5 linked regions of the Oryctolagus cuniculus genome follow. The protein of the gene in region 4 interacts with the protein of the main gene of each other region in a biochemical or structural test. Links are inferred from orthologs where the notes say so. Each region holds a gene or a part of one and is shown on either strand. Other genes may lie near its edges. The genes, in order: PTPN22, PTPRC, MAPT, LCK and PTPN6.

Region 1 (6,878 bases), about 84 Mb from region 4:
GCATTTTCGAGAGAGAAAAAGAAAACTTGGTCCTTCCATGGTGGATGGGAAAAAGAAATCAAAGTTGGGCTGTTGGAGTAGGCACTTAGCCTAAGGGTTGACATTTGCATCCCATATCGGAGGACCTGGGTTCGATTCCTGGCTCTGCTCCTGACTTCAGCTTCCTGCTAATGCAGACCCTGGGCTCCCAGTTCTGCCCCAGGTCAAGCCCTGGCCATTGCAGGCCTTTAGAGAGTGAACCAACACATCGGAACCCTCTCTCTCTTTCAAATTTATTTATTTGTTGTGTTTATTTGAGTGGCATATATATATATATATAGAGAGAGAGAGAGAGAGAGAGAGATTGAGAATGTGATGTGGCATATTTATTCTGGCAGTGACAGCAAACAAAAAATGCACCTTAAAGTGCACACAAGATGCCTTTTGATGATTCACACCAAGGCACCACCATCTAGGCCAGCCATTGGCCTTTGGGTCATGGAATCAGTCCTCCAGCCTCAGGAACATCAAACCCTGGGAAAATATCTTAAGAGCTTAGGTAGGGGCCGGCGCCGCAGCTCACTAGGCTAATCCTCCGCCTTGTGGCGCCAGCATACCAGGTTCTAGTCCCAGTCAGGGTGCCGGATTCTGTCCCGGTTGCCCCTCTTCCAGGCCAGCTCTCTGCTGTGGCCCGGGGAGTGCAGTGGAGGATGGCCCAAGTACTTGGGCCCTGCACCCCATGGGAGACCAGGAGAAGCACCTGGCTCCTGCATTCAGATCAGCGCGGTGCGCCAGCCCCGGCGGCCATTGGAGGGTGAACCAACGGCAAAGGAAGACCTTTCTCTCTGTCTCTCTCTCTCACTGTCCACTCTGCCTGTCAAAAAAAAAAAAAAAAAAAAAAAAAGAGCTTAGGTAGGCTATGGACGTGACGAGGTAGAAAGCCCTCACATGGCTGTGTCCACCTTGCCCCAGCACACCATTTGGCCCTGTCTACCACCCCTCTGTTCCCCCAAATCTAGCCCTCTGGTGTCTCAGCTGAACCGTTAGGTGGGGCTGAGGGAGGGCAAGACTCTTTTCCATTGGAGGACATGAGTCAGTGAACAGTGAGATTCCACTTAATCATCTTCCTAAAACAAGGGCCTTAACATCAGGAGCTAGAAAAGCAAGGAAGTGATTAATCTAGAAGTCAGCATGGTGAATATCCCTGGGGAAGAACAGGACAGGGTGGAGCAGGAGTGGGGGATGGGGAAGGGATTTACCCTGGATTTCTGGGATCTGACAGTGTTCTTCTATGTAATTTTTATTTATTTCTTTATTTGAGAGGTAGAGTTACAAGCAGTGAGAGGGAGAGACAGAGAGAAAGGTCTTCCAACTACTGGTTCACTCCCCAAATGGCTGCAATGGCCAGAGCTGAGTCAATCCAAAGCCAGGAGCAAGGAGCTTCTTTAGCTTCCTCCCACATGGATGCAGGGGTCCAAGGACTTGGACCATCTTCTACTGCTATCCCAGGCCACAGCAGAGAGCTGGATTGGAAGAGGAGCAACCAGGACTTGAACTGCCACCCATATGGGATACTGGTGCTGCAGAAAGAGAATTAACCTAATGTGCTACAGCACCGGCCCCTGCAACTTTTTTTTTTTTTTTTTTTTTTTTGCCTCAAAGCAAACTTACTGTTTAATTTTTTTTCCACAAACTTTTGCAGGCCCTTGACCTGAGTGCCAGCTGTGCTGATGGCTGTTTTGCAATTATACTCACATGATTTATGTGCTTTTCTAAAAGTGTGTTAGATCTCACAACTTTAAGTGGCTTAAAAAAAAAAAAAAAAAAAAAAAAAAAAAAACCACAAACAATAAAGAGTTTTTTAAGGGACCGGCACTGTGGCATAGCAGATAAAGCTGCTGCCTGCAGTGCTGGCATCCCAGTTCTGATCCAGCTCTCTGCTGTGGCCTGGGAAAGCAGTAGAAGATGGCCCACGTCCTTGGGCCCCTGCACACGCGTGGGAGACCCGGAAGAAGCTCCTGGCTCCTTGCTTCCTGTAGGCACAGCTCAGGCCGTTGCAGCCAATGGGAAGTGAACCAGTGGATGGAAGACCTCTCTCTGTCTCTGCCTCTCCTTTCTCTGTGTAACTCTGACTTTAAAGTAAATACATAAATTTTGAGAGAGAGAGAGAGAGTGAGAGAAAGAGAAAGAGAAAGATTTTTAAGTAGGGGAAAGAAGGACCAGACTTGTATTACTGAAAGATCATTGGGTGTGGAGCAGATAGCAGACCCCAGTGGGGCAAATCTGGAGGCAGGAAAATCTGTTAAGAGTTGGCTGCTAGAATCTGGTGAACGAGTACAATGACCAGAAGTAAGAAAAGGTAAACTGTTAGGGGTGCGATACACTACTACTAATAACACAACCCAAACAAGACAGGGCCCACTGTCTGTTTTTATGCCTTGGATGAATTTAGCCCAGGAATTCCGGTCCAAGGGCAGGCACCTGACATGGGCCAGGCCTGCCTCCTCCTTTCTTCTCTGGCCTCCTCCTTTCTTCTCTGGCAAATCTACCCAGAGGGTCTCGGCCCGCCTGGCCAGCGGCACTGAGAGCACATTTTTCATGAGGCCATGTTATTATCCAAGCTGAGCTGGCAGAGGGGTTTCCTACATGATGATGACACTCATGTATAAGTTCTAGTTGCTTGAGACATCACAGAGTGATTTTACTTCTGCTCCTTAGTCCTAGAATGGCAGCTCCATGAGGGCGAAGGTCTGTTCATCTTATTCTGTATCATCTTATACCGTATCCCCAATGCCTAGAATTGGACTTGGTACATAGTAGGTGCTCCAAAAATACAACTGAGCGATAAGCACATTTAACTGTTGCCATTACTGTTACTATTGATATTGATATTTAATCACCTGCAAGGATAGCTAAGACACATAGTATTCTCTTCATCCTGGAAGCCAGAAACCAGAAACTTCTAGGGAGATTAGAGAACATGCCAAATAGGGAATAATCTGTTTGGTGACAGAATTACGATTTAATTCCAGGTTTTACATTTCACTTCTCCTGAGTCTTCCACTTCTTCATAGCTGAAGAGTTCAGGTTTACATTTCTTATGCCTCTAAAACACCAGACGGAAGTATTCCAAAATACATGGGATATCAGGCACCCTGTGTTGCCTGACGTGCCAGAGTATGGGGTGAATGGGGCCTACCCGGCTGCCACTCAAAGTCTCCTGACCCGAAGCCATCTGTCTTCTCTCCATGTCCTCTGCTGTCTTATCCTCTCCACCCTGCCGGTTCCACCTCTCCAACCAGAAAAAGTTAGGGAAAGCCTGTTGCAAAACCACGTGCTCTGATATTACTATTATTATTATTATTATTATTTAGTAGGGAAAAGAAAAAAGGCAACGTGACAGTGGGTAGTTTCGATGCTCTTCAAAACCCTGTGTCATCCAAACAGAATCCCCTGGGGAGACTCAAAAAACGTGTTGTTCCTTGAAGTTCATCTCAGTCTGTCTCCTCTGAGTCTTAATTAGAATCAGCAAGTTGAAGCATACAGCACAAGGCAGGTCCTGGGGAATTCACAGAGTGCTGTAACAAGAGCATTTATACATCTACAGTTTTATATGTCTTCTGTAGGATTCTTGGTCAAACCGAACAGCTAACCAGAAAATATCAAAGCCAGTAGTTTTGAGAAAATCCCTAACACACACACACACACACACACACACACACACCACTCAGGAAAGTCAACCTTCTATTCTAAGTTTCCTTCGTCCCCTTTAGACCTGACCCTCTGTCCCATGCAGGCTGGTCTAGTGGAGTTGGAGAGACCTACTCCAGCAAAGAGTGTGTGCCGAGCCCCGAGAGCCGCACACACGGCACTCACCAGAAACTCATCGGCCAATTCCTCTTTGTGGATTTTCTTGCTTTGGGCCTCGTGCAGGAACTTCTGCAGAGCTTCTCTCTGGTCCATGCTGCAGAGCGAGAGAAACCGTCTCCGAGGGGCCTGGGGGAGGGCATGTCAGATGTGTGTCATGGCCGAGACCCCCTTCCCGGCACGCCGCCGCTGCTGCCGCCGAGCCGAGCGTGCTGCAGGCTGTGGTTTTACTGACTGCATCGCAAGCTCTGGAGGAAATTAGTACGCAACCGGCCTCTGTGGTCACAGAACCACGCCGACTTCGCACTCCCGGGGGCCCTAGCGCCTTCCTTCTCCACAAACGAACCCCGGGTGCCGTTCAAGTTTTTCACAAAACAGAAGCTGAGCGGAACGTCAAATGGGGGCTCTCATGAGGCCTCGGCGCCATCATCCTGGATGAAGCAACATTCACCCCTGGGCTTGCTTCCCGAAGGCAGAATGGCGGCTCTCATCCAGGAGGGCTGCCTCTCCCGGCTCTCCAGGGCTCGGTGACACCTTGCTTCCTCATGGCCGCGAAAAAACTCCAAGTTCGCTTGGGCCGGGAAGAGGAGACAGGCGCTGGGTGGAGTGGGGACTGCACCCCCAGGGTCTCTCATCACCGTGAGCAGTGGCCACGTGTTCATTAGAGAAGACGTTTCTATCCAGAACCTTTTCATCTGCCCTATGGAACTCAGATTCTCTTTTTGGATGAACCAAAGGCAGCTGGCAAACTGTAAAGGAAAAAAAGAGAGGACAGTCAGCCACAGCCACCTCCTGACAACAGTGTAGCCTTTAGGGCAGAAAACCTGAAGACACTTGCACTTTGCAGCCACTGTCTTGGAAAAGCTACAGTGGGCATGCGGTGTTTCGGCCGACAAGCAGGCTGCTGTGGAAAAGGCCTATGTAGTTCTGTCTGCGCGAGCTCCCTCATCAATGCAGACAACCCCACTCGTGTCCAGGTCAGGGTGAGAACACCCAAACCCAGGGCCGGCGCTGTGGCGTAGCAGGTAAAGCTGCCACCTGCAGTGTTGGCATCCCATATGGGCGCCGGTTTGTGACCTGGCTGCTGCACTTCTGATCCAGCTCTCTGCTATGGCCTGGGAAAGCAGCAGAAAATGGCCCACATCCTTGGGCCCCTGCACCCACGTGGGAGACCCGGAAGAAGCTCCTGGCTCCTGGCTTCAGATTGGTGCAGCTCCAGCCATTGTGGCCATCTGGGGAGTGAACCAGCAGATGGAAGACTTCTCTCTCTGTCTCTCTCTCTCTCTCTCTCTCTCTCTGCCTCTCCCTATCTCTCTGTGTAACTGTGACTTTCAGGTAAAATAAGTAAATCTTTAAAACAAACAAACAAACATGCAAAACTGGAATATCATGTTTGCCCGAGGGCAGAAGTTCAAGAAGTATAAATTTTTTAAAAAAGATTTATTTACTTGTTTATTTGAGAAGCAGAGTTAGAGAGAGGGAGAGACACAGAGAGAGGTCTTCCATCTGCTGGTTCACTCCCCCAATGGCTGCTACAGCTGCAGCTGGTGGATCTGAAGCCAGCAGCCAGGAGCTTCTTCCAGGTCTCCCACGTGGGTGCAGGAGCCCAAGCATTTGGGCCATCCTCCACTGCTCTCCCAGGCCATAGCAGAGAGCCGGATGGCAAGTGGAGCAGCTGGGACTCAAAGTGGCACCCATATGGGATGCTGGCACTGCAGGCAGAGGCTTAACTTACTAAGCCATAGCACCAGCCCCAAGACATAAGATGTTAATGGCGCCGGCGCTATGGCGTAGCTAGTGGAGCTGCCGCCTGCGATGCCGGCATCCCATATGGGCGCCAGTTCAAGTCTCAGCTGCTCTACTTCTGATCCAGCTCTCAGCTATGGCCTGGGAAAGCAGTGGAAGATGGCCCAAGTCTTTGGGCCCCTGCACTCGTGTGGTCGATCTAGATGGAGCTCCCAGCTCCTGGCTTTGGATTGGCATAGTTCCAAACATTGCAGCCAACTAGGGAGTGAACCAGCAGATGAAGGACCTCTCTCTCTCTCCCTCTCTCTCTTTCTCTCTTTCTGTCTCTCCTCTTTCTGTGTAACTATGACTTTCAAATAAATAAATAAATCTTAAAAAAAGATGTTAATAAAATGAATCTGAAATAATATTGAAGAAAAGAGGGAAATGTATTGTATCTAAAATATCAGCAGTCTTTTCTGCTTTGCAACATTATCCAACTCCTTTCAGGAAATCCTGTGTCTGAAGGCTATTCCAAGCCCTAAGGGGCCTGCATCCTTTTCATTGAGCTCCACAACAAGAAGAGAAGGTCAGTGAGGTATTCGGACTATAGGCAATTTGGAGTCAATATTCCAAGAAAGTAATTTCAATTCCAGCCTATGCAAATTAAAATAAACCATAATTCTTCAGCAACGTTTTTGGAGGGAACAGGACAATATTTCTCAAATTATCACCATGTAGCTTTAGAGAATTTCTTGCTGCTTTAAATGATTAAATGTTTCATTTGATTATTCTAAAACACATGAAATATAGGAAAATTTTATTTTTAAAAAAATTTATTTTTTGAAAGTCAGAGTTACACAGAGAGAGAGAAATCTTCCATCCACTGGTTCACTCCCAGATGGCCACAAACACTTGGGCTATCTTCCACTGCTTTTTCTGGCCACCAGCAGGGAGCTGGATCAGAAGTGGAATAGCTGGGACACAAACCAGCACCCATATGGGATGCTGATGTTGCAGACAGCAGCCTCACCCACTATGCATCCCCCCTAAAATATAAAATTTCAAGTTCAAACAAACTGAAACCATGTAAACTTATGTACACAGTTAGATAAAGACCAAATGATGCAAAAAAAAGAACTGATTGTGTGAGTGTGATGGTATTAAGGATGCCTCTAAAAATTACTATTATTACTCTTTAAAAAAAAACACAAAAATTAATGAGTGTTCAACAAATGTACTGAGCACCTACTAAATGCTAAGCACTATATTAGGGGCTGGGTATAAAATAGAGAGCAAGCCAGAAC
Region 2 (5,928 bases), on a different chromosome or scaffold from region 4:
TTCTGTAATTATGTATTTGCCACTTACTTGCAAAATTATGGGTCTGAGAGCTGAATTTTAATTTTTTTCAATTTTTAAATTTTTTTTATTTAAGAGAACAAATTTGAAATATTTTATAGATGCAGTTCTAAGAAGATAACATACTTTTCCTCACTTCTTAACCTTCTTCAACACCCCCTCATTCCTTCCTTTTTTCCTTTAATTTTGCCAATAAGATAATTACCTGTATAATTACAGCCTTAATGCTGACTAATCATAATGCTCAAGCAAAAATAGAGAGACCACAGTTCCACAGAAATACAGACCAGATTGTCAAATACGTCTTTTAGTCTCAATAAATTCTAGTATTAGGAAGGAACAAAACTTCACAGAAACCTAGCATTCTTGTTCTGCCCAGTAAACATATGAAGAGGTTTTTAAAAGTTTGTGGAAATGCATAGTATGAAAAAAAACCATGTATGGATTTTTAAAAAAAATTGCACAGAAACAAATCTTTTAATTTCATTTTCTGCGAACTTTTTGAAATGGGATGCAGAACTTTATCCTCAATATGTGCCAGGATTTTTAAAGTTGGAATTTTTTGCTGAATTTTTCTGACTTGGTGTTGCAGTGCGTAAACTTAGCAAAGAAATCCTTTCTATCTTGGGACAGATTCCCTATGAATGCAACCCAATTCACATATTATTTAATTTTTTAATGATAAAAGTCATAGACATGTAATTCCACATTTCCATGCTCCCTTTTCCACAGCCTTCCATTTGCAGAAGAAAAATGAATGTTTTCTGCTTGCTCCCTAAAGGGATAGAAATTCTGGGGGCTCTATTGATCTTGCATCTGTAAAAGTGTGGTCTCAAATGGCTAATGCACATTTAAAACACACAACACCCACATTTAGAAACCTCTGAAAAAAAGTATAGATTATTTAAAATCTAGAAGTTTGTTATTTGTGTTTTGTAGCAATTCACAGATAAAATAGACACCCATCATATGTGTCTACTGAATATTGGAACTGCACATTATAGCGATGCCATCTATCCGTGACAGCAGATCAAGTTTCAATAGGAGAAAATGAGGCACAGAGGTTTGAGTGACTTTCAGAATTGAAAGCAAGGGGCCGGCTCTGTGGTGTCGCGGGTTAAGTCGCTGCCTGCAGTGCCGGCATCCCATTGGGCGCCGGTTCAAGTCCTGGCTGCTCCATTTCCCTTCTGGCTCTCTGCTAATGGCCAGGGAAAGGGGTGGAAGATGGCTCACGAGGAAGACCTGGCTGAGGCTCTGGGCTCCTGGCTCTGGCAGTTGTGGCCATCTGGGGAGTGAACCAGTGGATGGAAGACCTCTCTCTCTCTCGCTCTCTCACTCTCTCGCTCTCTTCCTCTGCCTCTCTGTAACTGCCTTTCAAATAAATAAATAAATCTAAAAAGAAATTTAAAACAAAAGGTAATCTTAAAAAAAAAAAGAACAGAAAGCAAGACGCATTTGAGTTCTGATGCCCATTTTTGGACAACTCTCATTCCCCCTTCTCATTAATAAGTACATAGTAAGTAACCTTAATATAAATAAGAAGGTGTTGCTTCACTGAAAATTCACTTCGTTTAATCTATTAAATAAAGGCAAGGAACCACAGACTATCCTAAGGATTAATTGCCAATTGTATTTTATAGTAATAAAAGCATTAGAAGCAGGAACACAAAATATGAGTCCTACATACAGCAATCGGTGCTGTATAGTGAAGACATTTAAAATCAGCAAGAACGCCGAAGAGATTAAAAAAAAAAAAAAAAAAGACCAACCTAGAGAATGTTAGGTCACCAACTTAATAAGCTGACACAGAATTCACCAAAAGGAGTCACTTTTATTACTTCTTGGAAATTATCACTGTTCTTTCTTGGGTGTCTCCCCCACCCCCCGCCAAGATCCTAAACAATGATTAGATTTTGGGTCTTTCAGAAAACTGGAGGGCCAGCATCGTGGCACAGAGGGTTAAGCACCGGTTTGAGTTCCAGCTGTTCCACTTCAGATCCAGCTCCCTGCTAGTGCACCCAGGAAAGCTGTGGAAGATGGTCCAAGTGCTGAGCACGTGGGAGACCCTGATGAAGCTCCTGGCTCCTGGCTTTGGCCTGGCCCAGCCCCAGTAGTGGCAACCAAATGATGAGTGAAACAGTAGATGGAAGATCTCTCATTTCTCTCTCCTGATCTCTGTAACTCTTTCTTTCAAATAAACAAATCTTTTAAAATAAAATTGGACCTGCAAAATTATTCTGCAAATATCATTAATTGCACTAAACTTATATTTTAACAGGAATACACTATTTCACATAATAACATGTAACATACCTTGTATACCATAAACAAGAAAAGATAATTGATTTTACTACGATAATTGATATTAATTCCTGGTAAAGTAGTCTAAGCATTTGAAAAATTTGAAGTAAATGCATTCTAACAAAGACAAGGACAACTTTAACATGAGAAATACACATATGCAATATTATATTTCTCACATCAATGTTGAATTCCATAAAAATACCTATATTAGGCTTAATATGCAAAATACTTGGCACAAATATGTTTTCATGCTTTTATTTTTATCCTATGAATTCCAGCATATAGTGCATGTATTTATTTTAAAGATATTTATTTAAGTTCAAACTTATGTATCAAATATAATTTTTCATCAAAAGAATCAAGCAATGAATTTCATATTTGTACAGAGAATAATCCTTGTGGAGGGTTGTAGACACCAGGAGATGATAGCAAGATAGGTCAATTGAGTTTTTAAATTAGATTAAATATACTTAAAAAGTTATTGAACTCAAAGCTAACATATGGAGCATAAGATTTCCAAATGTTACCTTACTTAATTTTTCATAGTAGCCATATTCACACATAGCACTTTAGTGCACTCTTTCTGGAAGTATGATGGTAAACATTACAGTATATATGAATTGAACAAGGAGGACATCTTGAGGTCATTCCAGAAATGTACATGTTGTTATTCTTACACTGAGTGCACTTGCAATTTCTGATTTTAAAAAATAAATCCTTCAAGCTAAGTTAACACTTTATATATGTGTTTTTTCTTCAAGAAAAAAGAAAGGCAAAGTTTCTCAAAAGCACTTGGATTCACTTGAAAGTTTCTCTCACTCTTTCTGCTTCTCTTTCTCTCTCTCTCTCTCTCTCTCTCTCTATCACACATACACACACACACACACATAGACTACATAGAAATGGTTTTGCTGAATGACAGATAAAATTTAAAAGTAAGCATAAAACTGTACAAAACATCTTAGCAAAAACTATCTTAAATATTTTTGAACGGTAGTAAAGCAAGCTTCCTGCACACATCAGTCCAATGTACTTCACTATTCCACTGTGTACCTATTTCCCTCTCCTACTTCTAGGAAAATAGAATCACATCTTATAGGAGGTTTTGAGTGGCTCCATCTATGTCTCTTCCTTATGCATTCTGAGTTAAGGCAGGGCTTGCAGGGCCATTGGCAGAATGTTCTGGTTCCTCAGGGCCACTCGTGGGCTCAGGACTTTCAGCCTCTTTGTTTCCTTCATGGGTCGTATCTGGGGCACCTCGTGAACTAACACAATTCACATCCTGCTTTGCCTGGTCCACCTCATTATCAAATTGGATTTTATCATCTTGATTGTTGCTTTTCTTTACTTGTCCATTCTGGGCAGGGTAGTTGCTGGCAATAATGTCATACAGGAATTGATATTGCTCCTAGTAAAGAAAGCAGCCAAAAATTACATGAAGAAAGTTGACTTGATTCTGTTGTGTCAGATAAAAATGAGCAAGAACAAATCATTTACTGTGGAAGCCCAGGGTGATGGAGAAGTACTGTGATACCTTCTCATAAGGAACATTCCAGATGGATTAATTTCCTTACCGTTCTAAAAGATCAACAGCAGGGGACCTTTCAAAATGTGCCTTACAGCAACACCAAACTGGTGTCACTCCCTCAGCACACAGAATGACATCTATCTCAGTCCCAGGTTTTTGCCCATGGTGCCATTTTTGTGCTCATCCTCTAGGTCAATGTCTACACATAATTTAAGAACCACCTGTTGCAAGAAGCCCATCCTGTTTCTCCCGGTTAAATAAAATGTCCTCATTCACCTTCTTAAAATTTCTCTGGCACTTTACTCATTACATTGTTTAACAAATATCTGGCTCTCCCCCGCACTAGTGAGTGCCCTCATGCCAAGAGCACATAGTAGACATTCAATGTATTTTAAAATCTGTCTACAGACACTCAATATCGTTCATGATTGAAATCTTCATAATTCCCAGATGATGGCTTAGAGTTGCCACCACCCAGAAAGGACGCAAAGATAGACTGATTCTACCAATGCATTATCCTCCCTGTGTCCATTTCTCTTTTCAGTGTGACCCCAGGCCCTGGAGACAGGAGGTGGAGTCTGTTTTCCCAGCCCTTGAATCTGAACTGGCCTTGCGATTTGCTGGGTTTAATAAAAGGTAGAAGAAGACACGCTGTCTCATCGCCAAGCCTGAGTCTCAAGAGACAAGGGCGGGTCCGAGCTCCTCCTTGGAACACTGTTACTTTTATGTGGGCTCATCTTCTGGATGAAGAGGGACACGTGGTCCACTCACCTTGTTACCGCATCCAACTGCCAGCCTGCGTGGCACTGGAGTCAGACCAGCAGACAACAGCGGTCCACTCCCTGGACGCAGCTGATTGAGACAGTCTGTCTTGATTGGCTAAGCCCAAGGAGTCAGGTCAGCAACCCAGCAGAACAACAAACTACTGACCCAGGAAGTAATGTCACTTGTTTAAGCCGCCACATTTTGGAGGTCATTTGTTAAGCAGTGACACAAATTTACACAGGATTAAACGTGGAGAAATTAAGGCAAATCCATCAGGATTTAAGGAAACATTCTTCATGAATTGTAACATCAAATTGCTGGCAAAATTCAAGTTGGTCCCTTATAGTGAAAATAATCCAATGTGAATTATTATGTAAAATAGAAGGGAGAAAAGAAGAACCAAAAAGAGAAGGAGAGGAGAGGGAGGGGTGGGGAAGGGGATGGAGAGGAGAAGACCCTCAAATTAAAGATACTACGCATGTTAAAAAGAAAAGGCAAGGTATACTCACATATGTGGAAACCATTCCTGACCTAGCCTTGCGCAGAGATTTCACTACTTGGAAAACATCTACTACCTCTTCTGTTTCTGCACTTTCCATGAGATTCAACAAAGCACAAAATATTCCTGTTTGTTGAGATCCATCTCTATAAGAAGGAAAAGCAAAAGAGAAAAAAAGCAATTCTACTTTTAATAGAGTAATATTAGAACAGCAAGTAAAAGACAGGGGATGAATGCATATTTATGTCAAGGTTATTCTAATTATTTTATTCCAGTCTCTGAGTTATAGCTGTTAAATGCTGTCTTGGGGCAACACCTTTTCAATCCAAGACTGTGACAATCCTGTAGCTTGGAAAATACTTTGCAACTCTTCTATTTAGTGCTTTATGGATTTTAGTGCACTCTTATTGACATCTGAAATAGTTAGGCTCAATATCGTACCGCCAATTTGATAGATTAGAGAACTAAGATTTAGCGAGGATAGAGGAATAGCTAGTTACTGATGGGACCAGAAGTATTAGACTTTATGTTTGTAAATTACTAGATGGCAGGCTTCTTCTAATTCATTTGTCTATGCCTCTTAACCACTTTTAAAAATGTTTCTCTTCCACATCAGGAGAAAAGTGATACCCAACAGATCTATTCATTAAAACAAGGACAAGCAATGACTTACTAAACTAAAGTGTAAAACACAATAAAGCTTTAATTTAAATAATATGTCATCTGCAGCATGCTTCATTGTGTATAAGCAGGGAACAGCCAGCAGGTATTCAACCATATCCTATGAAACATAAGATTGAGAGCCTAAATTCCA
Region 3 (6,247 bases), on a different chromosome or scaffold from region 4:
GACCCCAGGGCAGCCCCGGGAGCGGGCGGGCGCTGACCGGCGGTGACCTCTCCCACCTCCGCAGCTGGCGAGTCCTAGTGTGGGCCAGGGATGAGTGCCCACTGCCGAGTGTTTGGACGAGAGGCCACGGCAAGGCCTGGTTGGGCTCTCTCCATCCCGCCTCCCCCGGGAGCTCTGGGTCAGGGCCTTAGAGCTGAACGGTTCGTGGAGGTCGCCCGCAAGGGGCGCTGTCACTTTGCAGATGTGGAAACTGAGGCCCAGAGAGGCCAAAAGGCCCGCTCACGGCCTCCCAGTAAAACCACAGGCCCCACCCGCGCCTTGCACCGCCTGGTCCCAGTCCTGCCTTCCTGCACGGCTTGAAAGCAGGGACAGCTGCGGGCGACCCCCGGGACCTCGGGGCCCCTCCGCCGGCTCTGCCCGCCCGCGCGCGGCCGTGGGCTGGTGCTTTCCCCGCATGCGGACGGGGCCTGCTGCCCGCGCGCGCTGCCCCTGCTGCCCCTGCACGAGCCCCCGGCGCCGCCCTAAGCCGCTCTCGGTGGTTTCCAGACGTGACAGCGCCCCTAGTGGATGAGCGAGCCCCTGGCGAGCAGGCCGCCGCCCAGCCCGACGCGGACATCCCCGAAGGAACCACAGGTGAGGGCGGTCCCCAGCGCCACCCGCCTGGGGCCCCCGGCTGCAACCCCCAGAAGGGTTCCTGCGGTGTCAGGGACGCGTCCCCAACGGTGCTCCCCGCAGCCACTGGGGAGGCCCACGGCCCCTGCTGTCACCCCCGCGGAGCCACCTCTGCTCTTCCAGTTCACGCACCAGGAGGTGTTCCCGGGCGGGGTGCGGGGGAGGGCGCTCTCCAAGGGCATCTGACGGCTGTGGAGGAGCCCGGTTCTGTCTCCCGCCGTCCTGCACGGCTGTTGGTGGGACGTTGGTCCCTGCCTGGGATGCAGGTCCTGGCGGAGTCTGGAGCCCACCGTTGCCCCAGGTCATCCCAAAGCCTCTGTAGTCCCAGAGCTGGGCCGGCGGAACACAACTTCCACACACGCCCTGCAGCTGTTTCAAGGCCACTCTCTTGTGTGGACTTTGTCTGATTCTTCTAGATTCTTGCCCCACCCATCCTGGCCTCCATCCACAGAGCCCTCGCTCTGCACTGTCCTCGCCGCAGAGCCGGCTGTGGATACCACTGGAGGGGCCCACACGCCCCCTCTCACCGGCTCTCACATCAGGTCCGCAGGGGACACACACAAGCCACATTCACCCATCCCACAGGGGACACAGCCTGGTGTCTGCAGGTGCCACCTGCTTGGACCAGCACCCCAGCCACCCCCTACTCCACACCCCTCTCTCCAGTGAATCTCCCCCAGAGCTGCTCCCGACCCCGCGTCCTCAGTGGGGTGGGGTGGGAGCCTGCGTACTGGGGTCAGCTCTCAGCCACAGTGGCGGCAGATCCCGTCCCGTCGGTGGTGCCCCCGTTGGGTCAGTGCGGCTGCCCGTGCGGCAGGCCTGCCTCGCTGGACAGCGGGGAGTGGCCCTCAGCCGTGCGCTGCCCAGCCGGAGCCGACCTTCCGCCTCCCTTCCTGTCTCCGAGCGCCCCTCACCGGGGCAGCAGCTTTCAATTGCAGGCCAGGCTGTGGCTCTTCCATGAAGGTGGGTTAGCTCTCCCCACCTCTTGGCAGGGACACAGGAATGCCACCATTTAGCTGGCCTTGCTGTCACCCCGCACCTCTCTCCTGTTCCTGTAACCTTGTTGGAAACTTGGTCCACACCCGCCAGGCACTGTGCTCTTGGGCACTTGGCCCAGCTTCTTCTTGGTGCTATTCTCAGATGCCCAGGCTGTCGCTGTCACCTTGTAGGCAGCACGGTGTTGGCTGCAGGGACCCCCAGGCAGGTCTTGCCCATGAGCCCACCCGCACCATGGCAGCCCCGGGACAGCCGCCAGGCTGGGCGTCCGTGCGGTCACTGTGTAGCTGTCTCGTGACTCAAAGACCCTTGCTTGTGCGTCATGCGTGCTCTCCGCCGAGGTGGTGGCCTGGCGCCTGTGTTTTAGCAGAGGTGGGGTCGTGGCAGGTGTGGGGGCCCAGCTGGCTGCCCCCCCACCACCACCACCTGCTGCAGCCACGGCCTCTCTCTCCCTGGACCCGCCACCTTCCCGGCACTCTGCGGGCCGGGCAGCAAAGCGTTCCTCTAACTGCGTGCATCCTGTGCGTCCTGGTGCAGTGAGGCCCGGACTGCAGGGAAGGCGCAGTCACCCGTCAGGTGCGCGGGTGTCATGGCTCGTGTCCGGTGAACCCTTGTCCCCGCCGTCCCCTGTGGTAACGTCTGCAGAGGAACCCAGGCTCGTAGGGCGCGCCCTCCCCGCGCGCTTTAGAAGTGTGCCGGAGGCCCGGGGCCTGCTGAGTGCAGTCAGTAACTCTCTCTGCTTTCGTCTCCTCACTTGCCGACGCGGGCACCAGCTGAAGAAGCCGGCGTGGGAGACACCCCCAACCTGGAAGACCAAGCTGCGGGACATGTGACTCAAGGTCAGTGTGCCACAGTCAAGGTCAGTGCGCCACAGGTGCCGGCGCAGCCGGGGGCTGGGAGCAGGGCAGAGGGAGCACTGGGGGGTAGGGAGGAGTCTGCTCGTTCCAAGGTGTTCAGTGTCCTGCGGGAAGCTGGCCCTGCCCGGGCAGGGAGCTGAGAAGGAGTGGCCGCGGTGAGGCGAGTGTGAGTGCCCACAGGTCTGTCCCCGAGCAGCACCTCCTCCGCGTGGTCACTGCCCAGGCCTGGTCCTGTGCGGCCTCCAGACCATCATCCGGGTCTCTTCTGTGTTCCAGAAAAGCGGGTTTTCTGTAACCATTTGTCACAGGCATTTCCAGACCTTTGGAAGTCTGAGAGCCTCCCGGGTTTAGGACATGGAGAGGTCAGAAAGAGATGGCCCTTGGGCTGGGTCTGTTCCCTGTCACCTGCCGGGCAGATGACCTTGGCCATCTCGCGGACAGTGTGGAAGCTTCCGGTGGCAGCGGAGCTGGGAAGACGCTGCTTACTCCGGAGAGTGCTAGGGATGTGCCGGCGTGCCCGGCGTGGAGGCCGCTCCTGGGCTATCTGGCTGTAGGAGGCGCTGCACCCACAGAGGGGTCCCAGGGGGTATGTTGAGGCTCAGTCTCCACCCCTGCTCCCAGAGGGGTCACTGCCCTCTGTGGGCTCATGGTTCTCTCGGCTGACATGTGAAGGCAGAGTGCTTTAAAAACGTTCTTAGGGTGTGAGTCCCTCAGGGGTCCCCGTCTGTGTGAGATTCTAGAATCCCGACTCCCGCTTCCTTGAGGTCGGGTTTTGAGCTTCGGTGAAAGTGGAGACCTCGTAAATATAACCTCTAGAAGTGGTCGCCTGTGCCCGGGTCTTAAAGAAGGGGAAGCGTTTTTCCCACAGATCTTTATTTATTGGAAAGGCAGAGAGACAGAGACAAAACACAGACGGACAGAGACCTTCTAATTGCTGGTCCACTCCCCCGGCCCCTGTGACAGCTGGGCTTGTGCCAGCCCACAGCCAGGAGGACTCAGGTCAGCCCGGGAGCTGGGCCTGGGGCAAGGGCAGAGGTGAAGCCGAGCTGAGGCGGCCTCCCCGCGGTGCCTGTGGCCCAACCGACTCCCGCGGGGTCCCCATGTCGCCCGTGTGTCCACGGCTGCGCCCGAGTGTTCTCCCACCTCTCCCTCATGTCTGAGCCCCTCCCTGCAAGTGCCTGAATCCTCTGGGGTCCAGGTCTGGCCTAGAGGCGAGCTGGGCAGGAGGACGGGTAGTCTCTTGGTAGCAGGTGAGATTCTGAGAGCTGGAGGCAGGAGAAATGCAGGTGGCTCAGTAGGGAAACTGAACCGCACAGGTCGCCTGTCCCTAACACACAGGTGGCGCTTGTTTGCGTGAGAAAGCTGGAGCCGGCTAGGTGGGCGTGCCGCGATGGTTTGGCCGGTCAGACCTGGCCCGGGATCTGCCCCACGCCGGGCCGTGCCAGCCTCGCGAGTGTGCTCCTGTTGGAAGGAATCCAACCGTGGCCAGTCCATTAATGGCCATCTTTGATCCTCACGCAGCTTGGAGCATCCAGTCTCCCAGAGCAGGCTCCGGGCATGGTGGGCAGCAGTGAGAGAGAGAGGGTGGAGAAGGGACCCGCCAGGTCCATGCAGGCGCCTCGGGGGACGCAGGTGCTCTGGGCTGGGGAGCAGCTCCTCTGGTGCCAGGGCACGGGGCACAGGGCAGCTCCAGAGATGGTGACGTCCCTGTGCCCAGCACAGGAGTGATGCCCATGCCGGAAGGGGCCTGGGAGGTCCCCAGGGCCGAGGTGAGGAACTGAGGCCCCGCAGAGGGGCAGTGCTCACGCAGTCACACAGGAAGTTGGTGGCAGGTGGACCCCTCATTGGTGCTGGCCTTTCAAGCACACAAGACCCCTGGATAAGCCCAGGGAGGGGCTCCTGCTTTGTTAGGCTGCGCTGTTTAAAACGCCCTTTCCCACGTCGCAGTCGGGTCCCCTCTCTTAAACACTGCACATGCCCTCGCTAACCTTGGACCACTGCTGCCTCTTCAAATCCAGAGGCGCTGAGAGTTGCCAGCTGGCAGAGGGCAGCACCTGGGCAGCCTGTGGGCCAGAAGCAGCCAGAAGCCTCGGCTGAGTTGGTCACACCCCTTCCTGAGCAGCATCCCGTCTTCCCAGAACCTCCTCCACCAGGAGGCCCTCAGGAGCTCCGCCAAGAGTGGGGACCAACACATGGGGACCTGGCCAAGGAGGGCCTGGCCTTTCCGAAGCCTGTGTCCCCCGGATCTCTGCAGAAGGGGCCTGAGATCATCAAGGCCCAGGAAAGCCTGGGCAGGGAGCTGGGGCTCCAAGGAGGCCAGGCCTCGGACCCAGGGCCCCCCAGCCTGATCTGCCAGGACGTGCCTGCCCTGTCTGGGACTCCCCTTCTGCCTGAAGGGCCCAGAGAGGCCGCACACCAGCCCCCAGGGCCAGGACCCGTGGCTGCCGAGGGAAGCCCTGAGCTGCTGGCGTGCCCGGAGGGGCACCAGGGCAAAGAGAGGCCTGGCGGCCCGGAAGAGGTGGATGAGGACCAGGACATCGATGAGTCCTCCCCGCAGGAGTCACCCCCCTCCCAGGTGTCTCCAGGCCGAGGTGGGCCACCCCCCGGGACCCCGGGGCTCCCCGCCGGCGGTGCCGTGCCACTCCCTGTCGACTTCCTCTCCAAAGTTGCCACAGAGACCCAGGCCTGGGTGCCCGTGGGGTGCAGCCCGGCCCCCCCGGGGCTGCTGGCAGCAGAGCCCGAGGCGCCCCCTGAGCTCCCCCTGCATGGGGAGATCACAGCCTGTGTGCAGCACCAGGAGCAGGAGCTGGCACACTCCAAGCCGGATTTGGAAGGGACTGCACTGCCGGGGGGCCCTGGAGAGAAGCAAGAGGCCCAGGGCCCCTCTTTGGGACGGGACACACAAGAGGCTGGTCTTCCGGAACCGTCTAGAAAGCACCCCGCAGCTGGTCTGCCCGGGAGGCCCGTCAGCCGGGTCCCGCAGCTCAAAGGTCTGTGTCTTGAGCACCCTTGCTCCCTCCCCGGTGCCTCCTGTGGCTGCCCAGGCTGTGGGCACTGCCCCCGAGCGCCGATGTCGGCCGGCCCGAGGCTCTTGGTAGCACGCGCTGCTCTCACGCTTGCCCGCCCATCTGCATGTCACCGACCCCATCTGGCGCTTTCTGCCCTCTCCCATTCTCTGGCCACTCGACTGACCCAGCACGGCCCCGCTGCCCGTGACAGAGGGTGGTGCTGCCCAAATCTCCGTGTGCCTCGGATTTGTGGGCATTATGCGTCCCATTTCACAGATGAGGGAACCTAGGCTCAGAGACGCAGTGCAGGTTGCCTAAGGTCACAGAGCAGTGACCAAGCTGACTTCGAAGTCCAGGAAGGGGTGATCTGAAACCCTCTCCACTCCCTGCCCCGCCTTCCCTCCCGCCAGGGATGCAGGGGGCACTGGCCTGGCGGCCGCCAGTCTCCTCAGTGGACAGCACACACACACCGCTAATGCCCCGCCCCCACCCCGCGCTGGGCAGCGGAAGCGCTGTCCTCCTGGTGGGCAGAGCCTCGGGGAGACCCCTGGCTGCTGGCGGCTCTCAGGGGCTGGGGAGGTGGGAGGGGAGGAGAGGCCATGCTTCTGTTGCTGGAGGCAGCCTGGCCTCAGGGCAGGCGCAGGGGCTGAGACCCGGGCATTGTAGGCTCCGTGCAGGGCCCGGGGATGGATGCTTCTTGGCGCTCAGGGCTGC
Region 4 (5,470 bases):
AACAGGAGCCCATATGGGATGCCGGTGCTGAAGACCAAGGCTTTAACTCGCTGCACCACAGCTCCAGCCCCGAAACAGACATCTTAAGTGGCTTCTGCAGAGGACACAGCCCCGAAGTCTGTTCCCCTTTCTCAGGCCTGCATCGTCTCTCAAAGCAGTCCAGGCAAGCTCGTGCATCAGGCTGCTGCTTCTGGCTGACTATCCCTCCTCCACAGCAGGGAGTTCAATTCCCTCACCTTCAAATCTTTGCTGAAGTCCCCTCCTCAGAGATACCTTCCCTGACAACCTTCTGTACACACGCAAATCTCTCCTAAGTATGACATTCCTAACTCCCCTCACATTTTCCCTTAGCACCTGTCACCTTGTAGTGTACAATATTACCATGATCCACTTCTTTGTGATGTCTTTGTCTCCCCTTACTAGAATGTAAGAAGAAGGGCAGAAATTTGTGTGTGCTTTATCCACTAGATAGCCTGTGGGCCTCAAACAATGCCTGGCACATGATAAATGTTCAATAAACATTTGTTAAATGAGGCCTGCGCCATGGCTCAGTAGGCTAATCCTCCACCTTGCGGCGCCAGCACACCGGGTTCTAGTCCCGGTACTGGATTCCGTCCCGGTTGCCCCTCTCCCAGGCTAGCTCTCTGCTATGGCCCAGGAGTGCAGTGGAGGATGGCCCAAGTCCTTGGGCCCTGCACCCACATGGGAGACCAGGAGAAGCACCTGGCTCCTGGTTTCAGATCAGCGCAATGTGCGGGCCACAGCAGCCATTGGAGGGTGAACCAACGGCAAAGGAAGACCTTTCTCTTTGTCTCTCTCTCTCACTGTCCACTTTGCCTCTCAAAAAAGTAAAAAAAAAAAAAATTTGTTAAATGAGTGAATTAATTCAATATTTTATAACATCTTGAAGGTGAATCAAAATATATCCCAGGTCAGAAACAATCCTTGAATCAGTAGCTATTAAAAAAATGCCATTGACCTCACATCGTGGGGTCATGTGACACACCCACTCCCAGGAGGCAGTGAGGAGCACTGTAGTATTTGAAGGGGCATGCAGAGTCCTGGTGGTAGAGCTAAAGGGACCTCCTCTTGGCCCCAGCGTCAATCACCAGGGCCAGCAGACTTTCGGACATCTGCTCATTCCATCTGTCACCGTGACTCAGCGTGTCCAGTTTGGTGTCTTGTTTGCTTTAAGATTTATTTATCAGGCCTGCACTGTGGGGTAGCGGGTAAAGCTGCCGCCTGCAGTGCTGGCATCCCATATGGGCGCCGGTTCTAGTCCCGGCTGCTCCTCTTTCGATCCAGCTCTCTGCTATGGCCTGGGAAAGCAGTGGATGATGGCCCAAGTCCTTGAGCCCCTGCACCGGCATGGGAGACCCAGAAGACGCTCCTGGCTCCTGGCTTCAGATCGGCGCAGTTCTGGCCATCACAGCCAACTGGGGCATGAACCAGCGGATGGAAGCTCTCTCTGCCTCTCCTTCTTTTTCTGTGTAACTCTGACTTTCAAATAGATAAATAAATAAATAAATCTTAAAAAAAGATGTATCTATCTATTTGAAAGAGTGACAGAGAGAGAGGGGGAGATACAAAAAGAGAAGAGATCTTTCATCCACTGGCTCACTCCACAAACTCCTACAATAGCCTAGGCTGGGCTAGGCTGCAGTCAGGAGCCAGAAACTCCATTCAGGTCTTCTACATGGGTAGCAGGGATCTAAGGACTTCCAGGTGCATTAGCAGGAAGCTAGAAGGGAAATGGAGGAGCCCAGATGTGGGTGTCCCAAGCAGCAGCTTAATACACTGCACAACACCCCAACCCTGGGGTGACCCAGTTTCTATCATGTGACCTCCCATTTACCACCCCCCCCCCCAAGAAAGAGATACGGAGTGCACAGCAGAGAGTTGCATCACCTTCATCAACAGACATTTATTGAGCCCCTAACAGGTGCCAGGCACCGACAAGGAGCACACAGAGGTATTAGATAAGGTCCTAACCCTGAAGGAGCTTCTGGAGGGCTTGGGCAAAGACAAGTGGGCAGGCAGAAGCTGGTGTCAATCACAAGACTCTCTCCTGTCTCTGTGGTATCAGGAAGTAGGAGTGCTTAGAAAGACACACCTTGGACAGTGTCGAAGGCATCCATGCATAGGCTACACATGTACAAGACACATGTGCAAAACCCATGCAACTCGGGATGTATGTACAAGCACAAGATACATATGTGTTGCACGTGGGCAGGACTCATGTGCAGAGTCCATATATGCATAGGCCATGTGGTTTTGGCACAAGAACTCCATCTCCCCAAGCCAGGCTGGCATGAAGGGGAAGGGCCTTCTCAAGGCTGGGGCTGGTACTGGCCCTCTGTGGCCGTGAAGAAGTCCTCCAGCACGCTGCGCAGGTAGTCAAAGGTGGGCCGGTCCTCTGGGCGCTCTTTCCAGCACAGCTTCATGAGGTGGTACAGCTCCTCTGGGCAGTTCTCAGGGCGCACCATGCGGTAGCCCCGCTCCAGGTTCTGGATCACTTCAGGATTAGTCATCCCTGGAGGTTGATGGGAGAAAGGACATCAAGGCTTTAGAATTTCGAAGCCCACAGCCAAGGGTGATGTTTAGAACCTGTAACTGGCAGAGTCCGAGCACCAGTTCAAAAGGATTTTGGTCTTCTTCAATGGTAAAGCCATGCTGGCAGCACCTGCTGATGTCATTCACACCACCTGACTACCTAATACAGCTCAAACACTCAATTAGCACGCACATTTTAGCTGTGGGTCCATGGACAGCAACCTTACCTCTTTTTTAAATAAAAAAATGGGATTTGTTTATTTAATTGAAAGGCGGAGGGGAGGGGGAGAAACAGAGAGCGGGATCTTCCATCTGCTGGTTCACTTCCTAAATGCCCACAACACTCAGGGCTGGGCCAGGCCAAAACCAGGAGCTAGGAACTCCATCCTTCTCCCCAGGGTACTTGGGCCATTATCTGATGCCTCCCAGGTGCGTTAGCAGGAAGCTGGATTGGATATAGAGGAGCTGGGACTCAAAGTGGGACTCTGATTTGGGATGTGGGTATCCCAAGCAGTAGCTTAACCCACTGTGCCACAACGTGCTCCCCCCACATCTCCTGCCAACCTCATGTCTTTGGGCCTGAATTTCCTTATCTGGAACACAGAGTAAGCTGCTGCTCCTCCCTCCCAGAGTCATTATGATGGCTGAACGAGGTAGTGTGTATGAAGGCCCAGTTAGGCGCTGCTTCACCAAGGGAAATTGTGATTATGATGATGACAGGTAGGTCAGGACCCAGGGCAGGATGGGAGCCCACAGCCAGGAGAGTGGTGAGGTTTCTCCCACTCTGGGACCAGGCACATGAAATGTGAGTCAGGAAGACAGAAGGGCCCAGGCCCAGAGAAGCAGGCTCTGCCTGGGACTGAGAAGGATCACCAGGCCCCTCCATGACCCAGACCAAATAGTCTTTGGGTTGGTTCCCTCCTTTTGTGCTGGTCTTGTTCCCCCAGGCAGGCTTCTTGTCTCAGGAGAACTTCTCTGGAGGATTGCAAGGATGTAATTCCTTGTTTTCATTTCATTCTTTTTAAATGTTTGTTTATGTTCATCTACTTGAAAGGCAGAGGTTCAGAGGCAAAGAGATATCTTCCATCTGCTTGTTCACTCCACAAACGCCTGCAACAGGGGGCCGGCACCGTGGCAGGGTAGCCTAAGCCTCTGCCTGAAGCGCTGGCAACCCAAATGGGCACCATTTCATGTCCCAGCTGCTCCTCTTCCAATCCAGCGCCTTGCTCTGGCCTGGGGAAGCAGTGGAAGATGGTCCAAGTGCTTGAACCCCTGCACCCATGTGGAAGACCTGGAAGAAGCTCCTTGCTCTTGGCTTTGGATCAGCCCAGCTCCAGCCATTGTGGCCATTTGGGAAGTGAACCAGTGGATTGAAGACTTTTCGGTCTGTCTCTCCCTCTCTCTGTCTGTAACTCTACCTCTCAAATAATAAAGAAAATCCTTAAAAAATTAGGAAAGAAAGAAAAGAAAAGGAAAAGAAAGAAAGTGCTGTCCCTGGGACAGAGAGAAGCTTTAAAAATAAATAAATAAAATTTTAAAAAATGCCTGCAACAGCCAGAGCTGTGCCAGGCCAAAGCCAGGAGCCCAGAACTCTATTTGGGTCTCCCACATTGATGGTAGCAGTCCAAGCTCTTGAGCCATCAGCTGTGTCAGAAGTGAAGTCACTGGGACTCAAACTGGCACTCCAATATGGGACACAGGCCACATCGCCCACCCCGGTTCCCTATCTTAAAATTATCCATGTATCCTCTTGCATTTTCTTCACTCTCCTGAGAGAAGACTGTGACAAACAGATCTCAAAGGCCAAACCCTTATAGGGTCCCAGCAAAATACATACACTGAAGTTTGGCTCCTGCTAAGCTTGGGGCTAGACCTTTGTCAATACAGACTCCTCTTCCCCAGCCCTTGCCCTTGGATGGCTCCTATCTCTGGATTCCTCACATTTTAAAATCCAGGAAGTAGAAGACGTAAGCCAGGAAACCAAACACGAGAGTCAATGATGCCAACCATCAGCTAAACCCAGCTTGAAGATGGCCCAGCTTGCTTTGGACCAGGTAGTTGATTTTCCATTTGTTTGTTTCATTTGCAAGATCAGGGAGACAGAGAGACACAAACAGCCTCCCCATATGCTGGTTCATTTCCTCAAATGCCCACAATGGCCAGGGCTAGGCCAGGCCAAAGCTGGAAGCCAGGAACTCAATCCAGGTCTCCCAGTGGATGGCAGGGACCCATCCACTTGAGACATCACTGCTGCTCCCATTGTCCACAGTTAGTAAGCTGGAGTCAGGAACTGGAGCGGGACTTGAACCCAGGCACTCTCATGTGGGGCATAGGTGTCCTAACTAAAGGCTTAACTGGTAGGCCTAATGCCCATATGGTGTTTTTAAACAACTTGAGTCAATTACCAATATTTGGAAATGAGTAGCTTTTCCTAAAACTCCAAGTTTTGGTCTCTCTTGGAAACACAAAAGATCTGGTTTTCAGATGCCCCTACCATAAGTGACAGCCATCTGCTGGGGCAGATGCAAGTTCACTAAGGTCCCCATGTCTCCCCATTCTCCCAAACCCTAGTGCCACGTGTCAGTTGCCTTTGATCACGGGGCTTTCACTCTGCAGGAACAATGGAGGAGCAGCAGGGGGCCTTGGCAGGACCTCTGGTGTGTGGTTCTAGCTCCAGCACTGCCTCCGGACTCTGATGGGACAAAGCCACGGTCCTTCAACCTCTCACCTGACCCCACAGAGCCTTCCTAGGAGCAAAGTTCTGTTCACATTGCTCTGAGATGTGCGAAGCCTCTGCAAATCCAGCCACTGGGCTCCATGACCTCCCTACTCCTGTTTGTGTGTTCAATTTCCCTTCCTCAGAGTTCCCAAGCCAATTCCTTTCAAAACCTTCCATCTCTGTCCAGGCTGAATGCAG
Region 5 (6,247 bases), on a different chromosome or scaffold from region 4:
ATGAGCTGTCCCATCTGCCGCAGTGCCATGCCCCTGAGCCTTAGATGGCGGCCGTGTGGGAAGTGGGCCCTGCCCCCATCCCATGTCACCCCGCTCTTCTCTTGCTCTATGCTAAAAGGAGAAGTCAAGTGAGTTCCCCCAAGGGGTCGGCCGCGCCCCTTCCTGTCCCCGCCCTGCTGGCTGCGCCAGGCCAGTGCAGCGGCAGCCCCAGCCCCGGCACCGCACCGTGGGGTGGGTGGTGAGGCGGCCGGGCGCTTGGAGCCCAGTTTGAGCCTTAGCTCCAGAGTGCTCCGCCGGCCTGTGTGAGGCTGCCCTCCTTCCTTCCCTGCTGCCCCTTGCTTTCCGGAAGCCCCCAGGATGGTGAGGTAAGCGCTGGGAGCTGCGGTCAGAGGGTGGGAGATGGGGGTGCTCTGGGGCGGCCGAGGGACCTCTCCTCACCACCCTGCCCGGCCTTCCAGGTGGTTCCACCGGGACCTCAGTGGGCTGGACGCAGAGACCCTGCTCAAGGGCCGAGGCGTCCATGGCAGCTTCCTGGCTCGGCCCAGTCGCAAGAACCAGGGAGACTTCTCCCTGTCTGTCAGGTAGGTGGTCCCAGCGACGCTGCACTGGCCTAGGCCCCTGGAGCCCTCATTCCCTGCTCCCCTGGCCCCGTGCCTCTGCTGTGTCCTTGTCCCACCCCCACCCCGTCCCCCACACCTGCGCAGGCCCCCTCCCCATGGGTTCCCCGGGGGGCCAGACGCCTGGCCTCACGGCTGGTGCCCTGCAGGGTCGGGGACCAGGTGACCCACATTCGGATCCAGAACTCTGGGGATTTCTACGACCTGTATGGAGGGGAGAAGTTCGCCACGCTGACGGAGCTGGTGGAGTACTACACACAGCAGCAGGGCGTGCTGCAGGACCGTGACGGCACCATCATCCACCTCAAGTACCCGCTCAACTGCTCCGACCCCACTAGCGAGAGGTGAGGGCCCTGCAGCCGGCCCCTTTGGCCCGCCCCGGCTCAGGCCTCTGGGCTCCGCTTCTCCCTCTTATGCTGCAGCCTTGCCCTTCACCGGGGTCCTCCTGGTGGCAGGAAGCCGCCCCTCGTGGCGGCCGAGCCCATTGTTAGAAAGCTTCCCTTCTGTGGAACTGAATCTGCCTGCTTATGACCCGGGCCCCTACAGGCGAGCTGTGTGAGCTGGGCTCCGGGCAACCCAGTGAGAGGGGGTCTAGCCCATGGGGTCCCCACAGAGGTAATGGGAAGCAGGTGGTATGGGGTCCTGGAAGGACAGGGCCCTGCACTGTGCTCAAGGCCGACCCCCAGAACAGGGCTGGCTCCTCCCCAGAGCGTGAACCTCACCCAAGGGCCCCAGGGGCTCACCCTGGCCCTATCTCCAAGACAGAGCCTGCTGTGGGCTGCCTAGGGTTGTTTTTTTTTTTTTTTTTTTTTTTTTTTTCATCCTGACTCCTGTTGAAATGCTTCTGCACCTTGCCCCTGTCAGTTTTCAGTCCTTCTGAGATTCATGCCACCAAACCTGTGTCAGTATTTTGGCCCAAGTGACTGGTTCAAACCTAGCAGTGGACAGGGCCGGGGTGGACACGAAGCCCTGGAGAGTGGCTTCCTGGAGGGACGCCTCAGCAGGGCCGCCTGCTCCCTTGGCCTCTCCCTCCCCACCCACAGCTTGCCCCTGTGGTTCCTTCTGCCCCTTTCTCCTCACCTCAAGCCTGGATGGCCCTGCTGGAGGAGACCTTAGGGCTGCCGTGGGTTGTGGATGGCGCTGGAGAGGGGAGCTGAGCAGCCCCTGGGGAGAGGGCTGGGGGCCTGGGTTCACCGGGCGTGGGAGAAGCAGGAGGGGAGGGAAGGCAGTGCTGAGGTGGGGACCCTCTTGGGTCACCCAAGCTGAGAGGCCTGGGTCTCACCCCTGACCCCAGGAACCTGCGAGAGGCCCTGTCTGCAGGCTTCTGAAACCTCTGCCCCCTCTTTGGCCAAGGCCTCCTCTTCCGGCATTTGCATTTGTCCCCTGGATGGCTGTGTCCCTGTCTGTGGTCAGCCTCACATTTGCATGGAGACTTCCTCATCCTGGGGCCCAGGGAAGGGGGCTCGCCCCCTCCCCATTGCCTGGGGGCCCTGGGCTGCCCCTGGGTGGTGGTAGGGAGGGGTGGCTTGGGGGCTCATGGGCGGGGTGGGGGACTCTAGGGGGCCTCTGAGCTGGAGTCTTCCCCAGGGAGGGGGTGGGGGGAAGAGGGGACATGCTGGGGACAGGCCGGCCCCTCCCTCCTTCCCCCATCCCTGCGGTTGGAAAATGCCCCCCTTCCCCTGGTGCCGGCTGAGGAAACCTCACTTCTCACTCTCTCCCCAGAAGGAGTTGGTGTTTTTTCCATCACGTGGTTTCCTGTGGGGCTGGGCATCGCGGGGCTATGGTTTCCTCCTGGGAAGGGGGTATACTTCGGGGAAAGGTCTTAGTTCTGTTTTCTGCCCCCTTGCGTCCCTGTGAACCCCGACCTCCCTTTTGGTGACATCATGCTGAGCACCCAGAGCCCCCTAAACCACTGTGTCCCTAGTGGGGCTGTGTCCCCCGCTCCCTGCCCGGTCTCCCCCCTGAGTTCCCCCACTCAGTCTGCATGTCTTTGTCTCTGCTGCCTTTCCCTAGCCCAGACCCCTCCTCCGGAGACTCACCCCTGGTTTCTCCACGGAGCCCCAGTAGTGCCTGCCTCTCCTCTGTCTTGAGTTCTCAGATGGGCTCTGGGTCCAAAGCCTGGCTAGAACTCTTGAGGCTGCCTCTTACCAGTCAGAGGTCTTGGGCCGGTGTGCGGCTGCTCAGCCTCAGTTTCTGCACCTGTCAAGTGGGATCCCAGCACATTTCTGTGAGAGAGCAATGGATCTCAATCCTCAATGTGGTGGACTTGCAAGCATCCAGCTCAGTGCCTGGCACGTCGTGGGCAGTCTGTGAATGCCTCTGCCTGCCCGGGGCCTTTTCCCCGTGACCTGGGTCTCATCTGCCCTGATGCTGCTTCCCTCTAGATGGTACCACGGCCACATGTCTGGAGGGCAGGCAGAGACGCTGCTGCAGGCCAAGGGCGAGCCCTGGACGTTTCTGGTGCGTGAGAGTCTCAGCCAGCCTGGAGATTTTGTGCTGTCGGTGCTCAGCGACCAGCTCAAGAGTGGCCCTGGCTCCCCGCTCAGGGTCACCCACATCAAGGTCATGTGCGAGGTAGGCAGCTGGGCGGGGGCGGGGGGGGGGGGGGCTTGTGTGAGTTCCTGTCCGTGCCCGCAGCGTGGGCGGCGGGGCGGGTCTGCTGGGGCTCAGGTCCGAGGCTTCGGGTCCAGGGATGGCCTTGCTCGGCACCCTCAGGGTGGACGCTACACGGTGGGCGGTCCCGACACCTTTGACAGCCTCACGGACCTGGTGGAGCATTTCAAGAAGACGGGGATTGAGGAGGCCTCTGGTGCCTTCGTCTATCTGCGGCAGGTAAGCACATGGGCCCGGCTGCCTGCTGCCTGCCCCTGAGCCCTCGCGCCTGCGCATGAGCTTCTGAGACCTCCGAGTGGCTGACATATCGCCTTCCCTGACCCCAGCCATACTACGCCACGCGGGTGAACGCAGCCGACATTGAGAGCCGGGTCTTGGAGCTGAACAAGAAGAAGGAGTCGGAGGACTCGGCCAAAGCTGGCTTTTGGGAGGAGTTTGAGGTGCGCGCTGGGCCTCTGCAGGGCTGGGACGGCCGAGGCCTTCGGCGGCCAGCGTGTGGGGTCCCGGGTGGCCACCTTCCTGGCCCCAGGTCTTGTCTGCCCGTGGGTGCCCTCGTAGGGGGGCTGCTCAAGCTCCTCTCTCCCCTTGCAGAGCCTGCAGAAGCAGGAGGTAAAGAACTTGCACCAGCGGCTGGAAGGGCAGCGGCCAGAGAACAAGAGCAAGAACCGCTACAAGAACATTCTCCCTTGTGAGCACCCAGACAGCCCCGCCCCGCTGCGCAGGGTCTACACCCTCCCATTCCCTCCAGGAAGCCACCCCTGCCTCCAAAAGCCCCGACTCCTCCCAGTGGAACCCCCACCCCCACCCTGTGCCCGCAGCCAACAGGCAGTTGCCGCCTGCTCTCACCAAACTCCTCCTTCTCAATCCTCTACCCCACCGCCCCACACAGATCCCCTGCAGCCCACTGTGAGCCTCATGGCTTTTGAGACCAGAATGCCTGACCTGTTAGCGTAGGCAGGGTCTGACCAGGCCGCCTTGCTTCCCCTCTGCCCACTCCCAGTTGACCACAGCCGAGTGATCCTACAGGGCAGGGACAGTAACATCCCTGGGTCCGACTACATCAATGCCAACTATGTCAAGGTCAGTGTGGCAGGTCCCATGGGAAGCCCTGGGGACACAGAGACCCTCGGGTGGAAGAGGGTGGCCGTGGTCGAGGCCTGTCCCAGGCTGCTGAGAGGCTCATGGTCCTGGGGCTGTCTTCTCTGCTTGCATCCAGAACCAGCTGCTAGGCCCCGATGAGAACACTAAGACCTATATCGCCAGCCAGGGCTGCCTGGAGGCCACGGTCAATGACTTCTGGCAGATGGCCTGGCAGGAGAACACCCGTGTCATCGTCATGACCACCCGCGAGGTGGAGAAAGGCCGGGTAAGGCTGAGGCCCCATTGTTCACCACCGAAACAAAGAAACTGAAGATGCCAGGGCAGAAAGGGACCTTAGGGGGTGAGGGTTTAACCCCTGCTGGGAGGAGGGGTGGCAACGCTGTGACGCAGTAGGTTAACCCTCCGCCTGTGGTGCTGGCATCCTATATGGGTGCTGGTTCTAGTCCTGGCTGCTCCTCTTCTGATCCAGCTCTCTGCCATGGCCTGGGTAAGCAGTGGAAGATGGCCCACGCAGGTGCAGGGGCCCAAGGACTTGGGCCATCTTCTACTGCTTTCCCAGGCCATAGCAGAGAGCTGTATTGGAAGTAGAGCAGCCAGGACTAGAACTGGTACCCATATAGGCTGCCGGCACTGCAGGTGGGGCTCAGCTATGCCACAGCGCCAGCCCCAAGCCCCATGTTTTAAACTGTCCTTCCCCTTACCGTGTTTGGAAGCAAAGCTTACTGCTGCCCATTCCCCATGTGTCCCCCTGCAGGCCCCTCTTGTTCTGTCTCATAAATGGCTCTGGAGCCCACCCCTTACTCTCTGGGCTCGCCCTTCCATGGCACCTCCTGTCCTGCAGCCAAAGTGACCCTGCCCAAAGCACACAAACTTGACCCCATGGCTTCCTCTCTGGAAACCCTCTAGTGGCTCCCAGCTGCCCTCCACCTGAGTTTTCAGTGTAAGGCTGGCACCCGTGGCACCCACCATCTCCCGTGGGTCAGGCTCTTCAGGCTTCTGTGGCTTTGCCCAAACTCATTTTATTCTCTCCCCATACTGTCTCTGTCTTGTCTTTCTTTCTTTCTTTCTTTCTTTCTTTCTTTCTTTCTTTCTTTCTTTCTTTCTTTCTTTCTTTCTTTCTTTCTTTCTTTCTTTCTTATTTACTCATTAGGGTCGGTGCTGTGGCCTAGTGGGTAAAGCTGCCGCTTGAGGTGCCGGCATCCCATGTGGGGGCCGGTTTGAGTCTGGCTGCTCCACTTCTAGTCTGGCTCTCTGCTATGGCCTGGGAGAGCAGTAGAGGATGGCCTGAGTCCTTGGGCTCCTACACCCACGTGGGAGACATGGAGGAAGCTCTTGGCTCCTGGCTTTGGGTCAGTGTAGCTCTGGCCGTTGTGGCCAATTGAGGAGTGAACCAGCAGATGGAAGACTCTCTCTCTCTGCCTCTCCTTCTCTCTCTGTATAGCTCTGACTTTCAAATGAATAAATAAATCTATTTTTTCTTTAAAAAAAAAAAAAGGTTTACTTATTTATTTTTTGAAAGGCAGGGTTACAGAGAGGCAGAGGCAGAGAGAGAGAGGTCCTCCATCTGCTGGCTCACTGCACAGATGGCCGTAATGGCTGGAGTTGGGTTGATCCAAAGTCAGGAGCCAGGAACCCCCTCTGGGACCCCAAGCGGGTGCAGGGGCCCAAGGACTTGGGCCATCCTCTACTGCTCTCCCAGGCCATAGCAGAGAGCTGGATCAGAAGTGGAGCAGCCTAGACTTGAACTGGCGCCCACAGGGATGCTGGCACTGCGGGTGGTGGCTCTACCCACTGTGTCACAGTGCCAGGCCCTCTGCCTCATTTTTGAAGACCAGCTCAAGTGCTGCCTCCTCTGTGAAGCCTCTCTGATTGCCTCCAGAGCCCAGGGGGGAAATTAGCCCCTTCTAGTGTGTTCT

What was found.
Region 1: of the proteins of LCK (region 4) and PTPN22, one has a biochemical effect on the other in vitro, tested with the Homo sapiens proteins (3 studies listed by IntAct, with this or other methods). The link is inferred for Oryctolagus cuniculus from reciprocal best matches to the Homo sapiens genes LCK and PTPN22.
Region 2: of the proteins of LCK (region 4) and PTPRC, one has a biochemical effect on the other in vitro, tested with the Homo sapiens proteins (5 studies listed by BioGRID and IntAct, with this or other methods). The link is inferred for Oryctolagus cuniculus from reciprocal best matches to the Homo sapiens genes LCK and PTPRC.
Region 3: the proteins of LCK (region 4) and MAPT form a complex in vitro, tested with the Homo sapiens proteins (2 studies listed by BioGRID, with this or other methods). The link is inferred for Oryctolagus cuniculus from reciprocal best matches to the Homo sapiens genes LCK and MAPT.
Region 5: of the proteins of LCK (region 4) and PTPN6, one has a biochemical effect on the other in vitro, tested with the Homo sapiens proteins (4 studies listed by BioGRID and IntAct, with this or other methods). The link is inferred for Oryctolagus cuniculus from reciprocal best matches to the Homo sapiens genes LCK and PTPN6.

Annotation. Positions count from the first base shown.
Region 1 is NC_091438.1:56,506,631-56,513,508, reverse strand, and holds the start of PTPN22 (tyrosine-protein phosphatase non-receptor type 22), read right to left. Parts: upstream 4,087-6,878; 5' UTR 3,943-4,086; coding exon 3,856-3,942; intron 1-3,855. UniProt on the Homo sapiens protein: Acts as a negative regulator of T-cell receptor (TCR) signaling by direct dephosphorylation of the Src family kinases LCK and FYN, ITAMs of the TCRz/CD3 complex, as well as ZAP70, VAV, VCP and other key signaling molecules.
Region 2 is NC_091444.1:14,986,478-14,992,405, reverse strand, and holds the end of PTPRC (receptor-type tyrosine-protein phosphatase C), read right to left. Parts: intron 5,261-5,928; coding exon 5,125-5,260; intron 3,731-5,124; coding exon 3,455-3,730; 3' UTR 1,830-3,454; downstream 1-1,829. UniProt on the Homo sapiens protein: Protein tyrosine-protein phosphatase required for T-cell activation through the antigen receptor. Acts as a positive regulator of T-cell coactivation upon binding to DPP4.
Region 3 is NC_091448.1:17,252,516-17,258,762, reverse strand, and holds part of MAPT (microtubule-associated protein tau), read left to right. Parts: intron 1-546; coding exon 547-633; intron 634-2,441; coding exon 2,442-2,507; intron 2,508-4,543; coding exon 4,544-5,515; intron 5,516-6,247. UniProt on the Homo sapiens protein: Promotes microtubule assembly and stability, and might be involved in the establishment and maintenance of neuronal polarity.
Region 4 is NC_091438.1:140,188,585-140,194,054, forward strand, and holds the end of LCK (tyrosine-protein kinase Lck), read right to left. Parts: intron 2,534-5,470; coding exon 2,331-2,533; 3' UTR 1,900-2,330; downstream 1-1,899. UniProt on the Homo sapiens protein: Non-receptor tyrosine-protein kinase that plays an essential role in the selection and maturation of developing T-cells in the thymus and in the function of mature T-cells. Plays a key role in T-cell antigen receptor (TCR)-linked signal transduction pathways.
Region 5 is NC_091440.1:102,585,741-102,591,987, reverse strand, and holds part of PTPN6 (tyrosine-protein phosphatase non-receptor type 6), read left to right. Parts: intron 1-187; exon of another isoform or gene 188-357; coding exon of another isoform or gene 358-365; intron 366-458; coding exon 459-581; intron 582-766; coding exon 767-961; intron 962-3,001; coding exon 3,002-3,191; intron 3,192-3,332; coding exon 3,333-3,449; intron 3,450-3,556; coding exon 3,557-3,670; intron 3,671-3,821; coding exon 3,822-3,918; intron 3,919-4,230; coding exon 4,231-4,310; intron 4,311-4,446; coding exon 4,447-4,596; intron 4,597-6,247. UniProt on the Homo sapiens protein: Tyrosine phosphatase enzyme that plays important roles in controlling immune signaling pathways and fundamental physiological processes such as hematopoiesis.